Arabidopsis thaliana: one gene and its partner. Each later gene encodes a partner of the first gene's protein in a complex. Each region holds a gene or a part of one and is shown on either strand. Other genes may lie near its edges.

Region 1 (4,085 bases):
TTTTTTTCATACCACCTATAATGATTGATAATTCACAAATTTTCAATTGAATTTTTTTAATTCTTGGAACTAGTTATCTTTCTCTATTTCTTAAAAAAAATTTCAATTGAAACTTAGGGAAGTACTTTAAGAAACATATGTATAAAAAAACATATTTTATTGAGTCCCTTCATGCCTACTATAACTAGTTATTTCGGTTTTCTACTAGCAGCTTTAACTATAACCTCAGTTCTGTTTATTGGTCTAAGCAAAATACGACTTATTTGAAATTAATTGAATGCAGATTTTTTTATAAAAAAGGATTTCGTTGGTATTTATTAATATGTTCGATAGTTCCTTACCGTGTTAATTACCAAATTTTGGTCATTGAGATTCATTGGCAATACAGATTAAGAGCTAGGAATAGATAGTACCTCTCTTTTCTCCCTTTCAAAAATGAAAACAAAAGAAAATTCAAATGATTGAAGTTTTTTTATTTGGAATCGTCTTAGGTCTAATTCCTATTACTTTGGCTGGATTATTCGTAACTGCTTATTTACAATACAGACGTGGTGATCAGTTGGACTTTTAATTAATTAACATCTCGTTTTTTTACTAACCTCCTTCTTGCTTTCCTATGCGGGAGGTCTAATTCAGACTGCTGCTCAGTAATTTGTGAACAGTGGAATTTTGATACAATCTATGAAATCACGCTCTGTAGGATTTGAACCTACGACATTGGGTTTTGGAGACCCACGTTCTACCGAACTGAACTAAGAGCGTTTTTCTTTTTTTTTTTTTCTAAAAAACGAAAAGGCTAGAAAGAGGGCATTCTTTAACCCGACTCGATTTTGTACGTATATACTATATCATACATAGTATATCATAAATTTCAGAATTAAATGTATGTCCGATAAAAAAAATTGATCAAAATAGATACCTCGTTACTGCTCTTCTGAGCAGTAATAGGTAGGGATGACAGGATTTGAACCCGTGACATTTTGTACCCAAAACAAACGCGCTACCAAGCTGCGCTACATCCCTTTCAATAGGTTTACAGTGTCATTGTAGAGAATTCCTGTCTTGTTTTCCACATCCTCCTTCTTTTTTATTGGTATATCAAATTCATTTCTTCTTTTTTTCTCATATCAGATAACAAAGATATAATTAAAAAATTTACTTTTTTTTTTTTTTTTATTCTCTCAATTTTACATAAATAGGCCTTTACGTTTTCAAATGGAATCGATAAGATCGTTCTAGTCGACAATATTAAAATTCTAATTTTGAAAGCGGGGGGACGGAAGTTACATATACAAATACAAGAACTTCTTAATTACATGTACATCTGTAATTATATATATTACTATATATAATGTAATACAATAAAGAAGAAAGAAGGAGGATTTCTAATGCGAGATCTAAAAACATATCTTTCCGTAGCACCGGTACTAAGTACTCTATGGTTCGGTTCGTTAGCAGGTTTATTAATAGAGATTAATCGTTTATTTCCAGATGCATTAACATTTCCCTTTTTTTCATTCTAGTTATTAACATCAGAAAGGGGTGAAAAATTTAGAGATACAATCAACAATCGGGGACTAACCCCCCCACCTTTTCTAATTAGTAGAATAAATTAGAAAAGGTGGGGGGGGGGGGGAAAGGTCATAAAAACGAGGGTTCAGGATCCAATGAAATTAGTAATAGAACGAAAAAAAGTGTTGCTAGGGAACCTATCAGATACTTAAAAAAACTACTGTACAAAGATTTTAAATATAGTTTTCACAAAATCATAAATCATTGTATTACTTATTTTTTTTATTTAATTACTAATAAATAAAATATTAATTGTAACGAAATATTTCAGAATTTTTTTTAGTTAACAGCTTCTATTTTTTTTGTTCTTGTTCTTTCTGGATCCTAAAATTAAAATAGAAGATTGAGGTGAATCATAAATCCAAAGGAGGTTTCATGGCCAAGGGTAAAGATGTTCGAGTAACAATTATTTTGGAATGTACCAGTTGTGTTCGAAATGATATTAAGAAAGAAGCCGCGGGAATTTCCAGATATATTACTCAAAAGAATCGGCATAACACCCCTAGTCGATTGGAATTGAGAAAATTCTGTCCCTATTGTTATAAACATACAATTCACGGGGAAATCAAGAAATAGATCAAATTGAGTGCTTGTATGTCAACTTTTATTTTAAGAACAGGAATAATGCTAGTATCTATATATTATTACATATATATAAATATAAACAAATAAATCAATAGAAAGAAATCTAATCCGATATTCTTAATTCTATATAGAAATTCTATCCTATATAGAAATAGAAATCGTTTTTATTTTGATCCGATCAAAATAGGATTTTAGAGATAAGGAATAAAAATAAAAATTATGAATAAATCTAAGCGACTTTTTACTAAATCCAAGCGATCTTTTCGTAGGCGTTTGCCCCCGATCCAATCGGGGGATCGAATTGATTATAGAAACATGAGTTTAATTAGTCGATTTATTAGTGAACAAGGAAAAATATTATCTAGACGGGTGAATAGAGTGACTTTAAAACAACAACGATTAATCACTATTGCTATAAAACAAGCTCGTATTTTATCTTTGTTACCTTTTCTTAATAATCAGAAACAATTTGAAAGAAGTGAGTCGACTCCTAGAACTACTAGTCTTAGAACCAGAAAAAAATAGACTTATTTTTCAATTGAATAACAATTCCAATCTGAAGGAATTAAAAAAGAGATTAATGTTTTGTTCAAAAAATCCAATCAAGAATAAAAATTTGATTGTTACGTCTGTGTCTATTATAAAAAAAAAAAGAAAAGAATCGTCGAAAAGCATAACTCGTTTTTTCGAAACTATATACTCTCGTTTTGTTTTGACGACTTTTTTTTTAATACTAATTTCTACTCTACCTTCCCCGAGCTCATTCTCCTTAGAACTCTATTTCAAATATTTTCGTGGATTTCTTCCAATCCCCTTATTTTTTTATGTCATTCGAAATTGTATAAAGACAACTCCTATTTAATAGAGCTATTTGTGCAAGTATTTTCCGATTAAGAAGTAATTGCTTCTTGTATAGATTGTGTATGAATTCATTATAACTATAGAATACCCCCATTTCGTGAATTACGGCATTTATTCGAGTGATCCATAAACGGCGAAAATCTCTTTTTCTTTTACCCCTATCCCGATGAGCCGAAACTAAAGCTCTTATTCTCTGTTGAGTCATAGTTCGTGTAAGCCGTGAATGAGCCCCTCGAAAGCTTGATGCAAATAAACGAAGTTTTGTTCTACGCCTCCGAGCTATATATCCGCGTTTAATTCTAGTCATTGAATAAATCAAACTTTGATGAATAACTAATTCTTTTTTTAGTTATTCTTTTCCCCTTTACTAGTCTATTAATAACCAAACGAATTATTCCAATGTATAAAAAAAATTCCAATGGCTTTTGCTACTCTAACCTTCCCCACCACTATTTTTTGCTAGGTATTTTCCTTTACTTTGAAAGGCCTTGATATAAAAAAATAGAATAACTACAAAACGTAGTAAATAGAATTGGATAAATAGTGGGTTCCATCGTTTCTATGGTTACTTCTAAAACGGTGAGGTCCTCTCTATACACCGGAGCTCCTTCTTTTAATTAATCAATACTATTGGTAACTTGTACAATTCACATTCTTTGGCTCTACCCCATGAATATTCCAGTAATAGGTCTTTCACAATGAGATCCCCTTTATACAGTAACGGTATTTCATTTTGAAAATTGATTAGGTCATTTACCCTGTTAGTCCGTTCTTTTCTTTCAAGAGTGAAATCTTTTTTCTAAAAAATGGAATTTCCCCCGCTTAATGGATACTCATTTGTTATCATTGGGGGTTTTCTAAAAAATGGAGTTGATTGGATTTGCACCAATGTAAACCATAAGTTTCAGACACAATAGAGTATATGAACGATCTATATTTTGTAAATAATGAATCGAGTTCGTCCATTCTATTTTATTCATAGGTACTGATCCGTGATATTTCAAAAAGAATTTCCTTTTTATGTCTCAGTCTATGATCTAAACGAGTCGCACATACACCCGAGTACA
Region 2 (4,075 bases), on another chromosome or scaffold:
CGAAAATGAGAACGACGGTGAGAATCGCCCAAACTGCGAATTTACTAGCATCTTGAAGCGGCTCTTTGAGAAAGATGACGAAAGAACAGAGTGCCAAAGCAATTCCCATCTTGATGGAGAAGTAAAGTTTCCTACGATCAGAATGTCCCAGCGCGTACAACTTCGCCGGAGCCTCGTAGAGAGCCCTCCACGAGCAACACCGGAACTTGGAGTCACGGCTATCAGCGACGTCGCTTGACTGCCAGAGAAGCTTCTCTGTGTTTTGCTCCGGTACTGATCCCATTTTACCTCCCATTAGAAATGATTCTGACAATTCTACAGAACCTGAGAGATTCTTGTCGTCCTTACGAATAGAAAGATGTTTATTTATCTATTTATCAAGATTTGTTTTGTACTACGCAATTAATGCATGCCTTCGATTCATCATCTCTAAATAATCAAGTTTTTTTAAAAAATTTACAATTTGGTGCATCTACATTACAAATTTTAATAATTGTCCGATTTATAACTTTGATGTTTTTGGTTGAAATCTAATCATTAACATATTAACCACCAAAAGTGTCCAAATTTTTTGAAACAGATGGAATTTAAAACGTGAGAATTTACATTTGTGGACCAGTAATGCATAAATGGACCGGTAAGGCCGTAATATGATTTTTTGTGACTATTAGTTATTCAGTAAAAAAATTAAAAATAGAATTATATTATTTCTTAATTTCTGTTCAATGTGTTAATGTTTCTTAAACTGTAGACTTTACCTTTTTGGCTCAGCTACATAATATTTTTTCATAGTTACCCGATTTAGTAAGTTTTTTTGTTGAATCTAAACATCAACATAATTCATTGTGACCAGTAAAAGTGTCGCAGAAATAACAACAGATATCTATGGATAAACAACCTGAGAATTAACTATAGTGGACGTGTGTAATGTAAATGGACCAATAATGTGACGGTGAACAAATTTACACACATATCTTAAAGTCTCTTCAAGTTCAAGACTCTAATAATTGAATTACAGACCCACAGTTTTGGAGAAGTTGCAAGTATCAAAGAGACGACAAGTTTCATGGTCGTGACTTGTGTGAATGTGACATTTTGAAACTCCTACTTACTACCGCATCGCATCTTACTACTTCCTAACTATGCTCAAAAGCCAAGCCCTACCCTACACAGTGTACCCACCCTCACATGAGATTTTTCCTACTTTTTTTTGAGAAACAACAATTATTTATGTATTTTGGGTGAGTTTGATTGTTTTATCCAATTATTGTATGCTGAAAATAAAAAATATCGTGTGCACATTATATAATAACTACGATGTAAGAAGTATTTCAAACTTTTACTATATATACTCATCGAATGATGTTCATGAATGACCATCATGGTGTCTTTCTCCTTAAAGGCTTTCTCATCTCATCTATCCAGTGCTACTTCAAGTCCAAAGAAAGACTCTTCTTTGGCCTCAGCAAACCTGTGAAAATAAAGAAGACGATTTTTTAAGATGAATCATGTGACATAATGTAAAAAGAATCATGTGACATATATAATGTAAAGGCCACTTTCTCAACAATTATTTGTTTTTGATAAATAAATAAAACAAATTGAGGACATCTTGCAGCGTACAATATCGATAATTATATTTTGTTAAAAATTGTGTTTTGATTAATACAAAAATTTATTTCACACAAAAAAATTTATTGACTTTGATCAAATCATGAACACTAAACAAAGATGAGGTTTTTAATTTTTGTATAAATACTTGTGGCTGTCAAATGTCATTCGAATTAAATATGATATGATTAATACTTATATGTTGAGATCTTTGAATTAGTCCCTCGAAAATACTTGAAACAGAGTCTGTATTTTTAAAAGTCTACTTCTCAAAGCTTCAGGTTTGTATTCATGGGCTTATAATAAACTCTGTATTCTTGACCCATTTAATGATGGGCCAAGTCAACAAAGCCCATAAATTTGATAGTCAAACTACTTTGAAACTCCACCCAAAAATGTGACCATATCTTCCTTATCCATATTCTCACAAAATCTCCATTGTTCTCTGAGAAAACACAAAAATGATGTCATCAATGGCACTCTCTTCTACTTCCCTCTGCTCTTCTTTCATCTCTCAACATCCAAAACTCTCCATCACTGCTTCTCCTCCATTGTTCCATACCCAAACAACCAAACCCATCTCTGTAAAACGGAAAATCATAACTCTAGCAGCTCCAGAGACACTCACCGCTGAAACAGTCACCGGAATTGATACTTCCGACAACACTCCACAACAAACAATAAAGGTAAAAACAACATATTCTTCTTCATCTTCTTGTCTCTTGTGTTACAAAACCCACAAATCTTTGTTGTTTGTGTTAGGTGGTGAAGCCAGATGAGAAATCAAGAGTGGTACTCAAGTTTGTGTGGATGGAGAAGAACATAGGATTAGGATTGGACCAACATGTACCTGGACATGGCACAATCCCACTTAGTCCTTACTTCTTCTGGCCTAGGAAAGATGCTTGGGAAGAGCTTAAGTCTACTCTTGAAGCTAAACCATGGATCTCTCAGAAGAAGATGATCATTCTTCTAAACCAAGCCACTGATATCATCAATCTCTGGCAACAAAGTGGCGGCAATTTAACTTCTCAATAATCTCTTTTTTGATTTCTGCATTTCAAGAATTCACTTTGTCTATGATTATTATTGCTATTGAGAGTTTTTTGTTTATCTAAACAATATCCAATCACATTCGACATAAAAGATTCATTTTATTGGAAAGAGAAAATGATAATAAAAGCAAACATCAAGCAACTCTGAGTTATTGTTTCCTTGAAGGACATATCAAACGCTTGATGGTTGAGATTTTGCAGAGAAGAGCTTCACCATAGGATTTAGAGACTCTCCGGTCACCGGAATATGTACACGTTAGTGTCACTTTCTTCTCCAACACACTCACCAATATTGAATATGTTTCTGCTCCAAGAAAACAGAGGAAACAAGCGTGAGAGGAAAGAACAAAAAAGTGTCTCATCTCGGAAGTAAGTAAGCTATATACTCACCGATCATCCTCGCCATTATGTCGGCGACTTTCTCTTGGCAGTCACTACATCTGATGTCTGCTGATAGAACAATCTCCTGAATCTGATAACACACAAGATCAATTAAAAGAATCCACAGAGTTGAATCATTCTAAGACAAAAGTGTTAAGAGAGTAACGAACAAGTGGCATGGATAACGATGCGACAGAAGCGAGACTGGTTTCACTTGTTCTTGAAAGCTTGCTTCTTAGTGATGGTTCAAGTTCCTCCTCGACGATTTGAGACAGAGTAGCCATGACACTCTCGTTGCACAGAGAAGATAGATAAAACAGGAAATGAAGAATCCTATAGAAACAGTCTCTTGTACAAGGAAAGATAAGTAAAACAAAAATCTAGAATCCTAAAGAAACCACCAAACCAAGAGTGGGAAACGAAGAGTGTCGCTATCCGAAAAGGATGAGTTAGCAAAACTAGTGACAGAGGAAGCCCATCTTTGCTTTTGCTTTAATCTTTGGAGAAAACTAAGTTTAGAGACTCAAGAGACATGTTAACACACAATAGAGATATAATATATGCTTTGGATCCATGACTTAGTGTCCATTAATCTGAGTAAGAAAGTCAAGTTCTTTTGGCTCCTCTTTATTTCCTCTACATTGTTTGAAAAAGATGCTTCACTCACCAAAATGCAACCCCACCAAAATCATTCAAGTTGGAGGATTCTGACTTGGTCTTAAACGAATTTAAATAGCTTACCTTTTTCACCTTACCCTACCTTTTGGTAAGCCAATCATCTATAGCACAACAAGAGATGATAATAGGTAAAAGTTTAAAATGGTGTAAGATAAGACACTCAACTTTCATCACTGTTAGTGGTTTATAACAAGCGCTCTTACTATGGATAACAAAACTTGTTGGACGATTCCAGAAAACATCAATTGTTACCAGCTAGTTACAACTAACAACCAAAGAGCATCAATTTTATTTGTTGGTCCCCTTTGGAATGCTGCACAAAACAAAACCCTATGGGCACATGGACATGG

The links. Proteins that work in one complex are often made in the same cells at the same time.
Region 2: rps18 (region 1) and PSRP3/1 share a complex: the UniProt entries of both Arabidopsis thaliana proteins name them as parts of the 30S ribosomal subunit.

The regions. Positions count from the first base shown.
Region 1 is NC_000932.1:65,541-69,625, forward strand, and holds rps18 (ribosomal protein S18), read left to right. Parts: upstream 1-2,376; coding exon 2,377-2,682; downstream 2,683-4,085. Other genes in the region: petL (cytochrome b6/f complex subunit VI), read left to right, coding at 172-267; petG (cytochrome b6/f complex subunit V), read left to right, coding at 458-571; psaJ (photosystem I subunit IX), read left to right, coding at 1,389-1,523; rpl33 (ribosomal protein L33), read left to right, coding at 1,948-2,148; rpl20 (ribosomal protein L20), read right to left, coding at 2,972-3,325.
Region 2 is NC_003070.9:25,756,167-25,760,241, reverse strand, and holds PSRP3/1 (Ribosomal protein PSRP-3/Ycf65), read left to right. Parts: upstream 1-1,830; 5' UTR 1,831-2,072; coding exon 2,073-2,297; intron 2,298-2,373; coding exon 2,374-2,649; 3' UTR 2,650-2,815; downstream 2,816-4,075. Other genes in the region: AT1G68600 (aluminum activated malate transporter family protein), read right to left, coding at 1-295; AT1G68585 (uncharacterized protein), read right to left, coding at 2,816-2,970, 3,057-3,138, 3,218-3,331. UniProt on the Arabidopsis thaliana protein: Component of the chloroplast ribosome (chloro-ribosome), a dedicated translation machinery responsible for the synthesis of chloroplast genome-encoded proteins, including proteins of the transcription and translation machinery and components of the photosynthetic apparatus.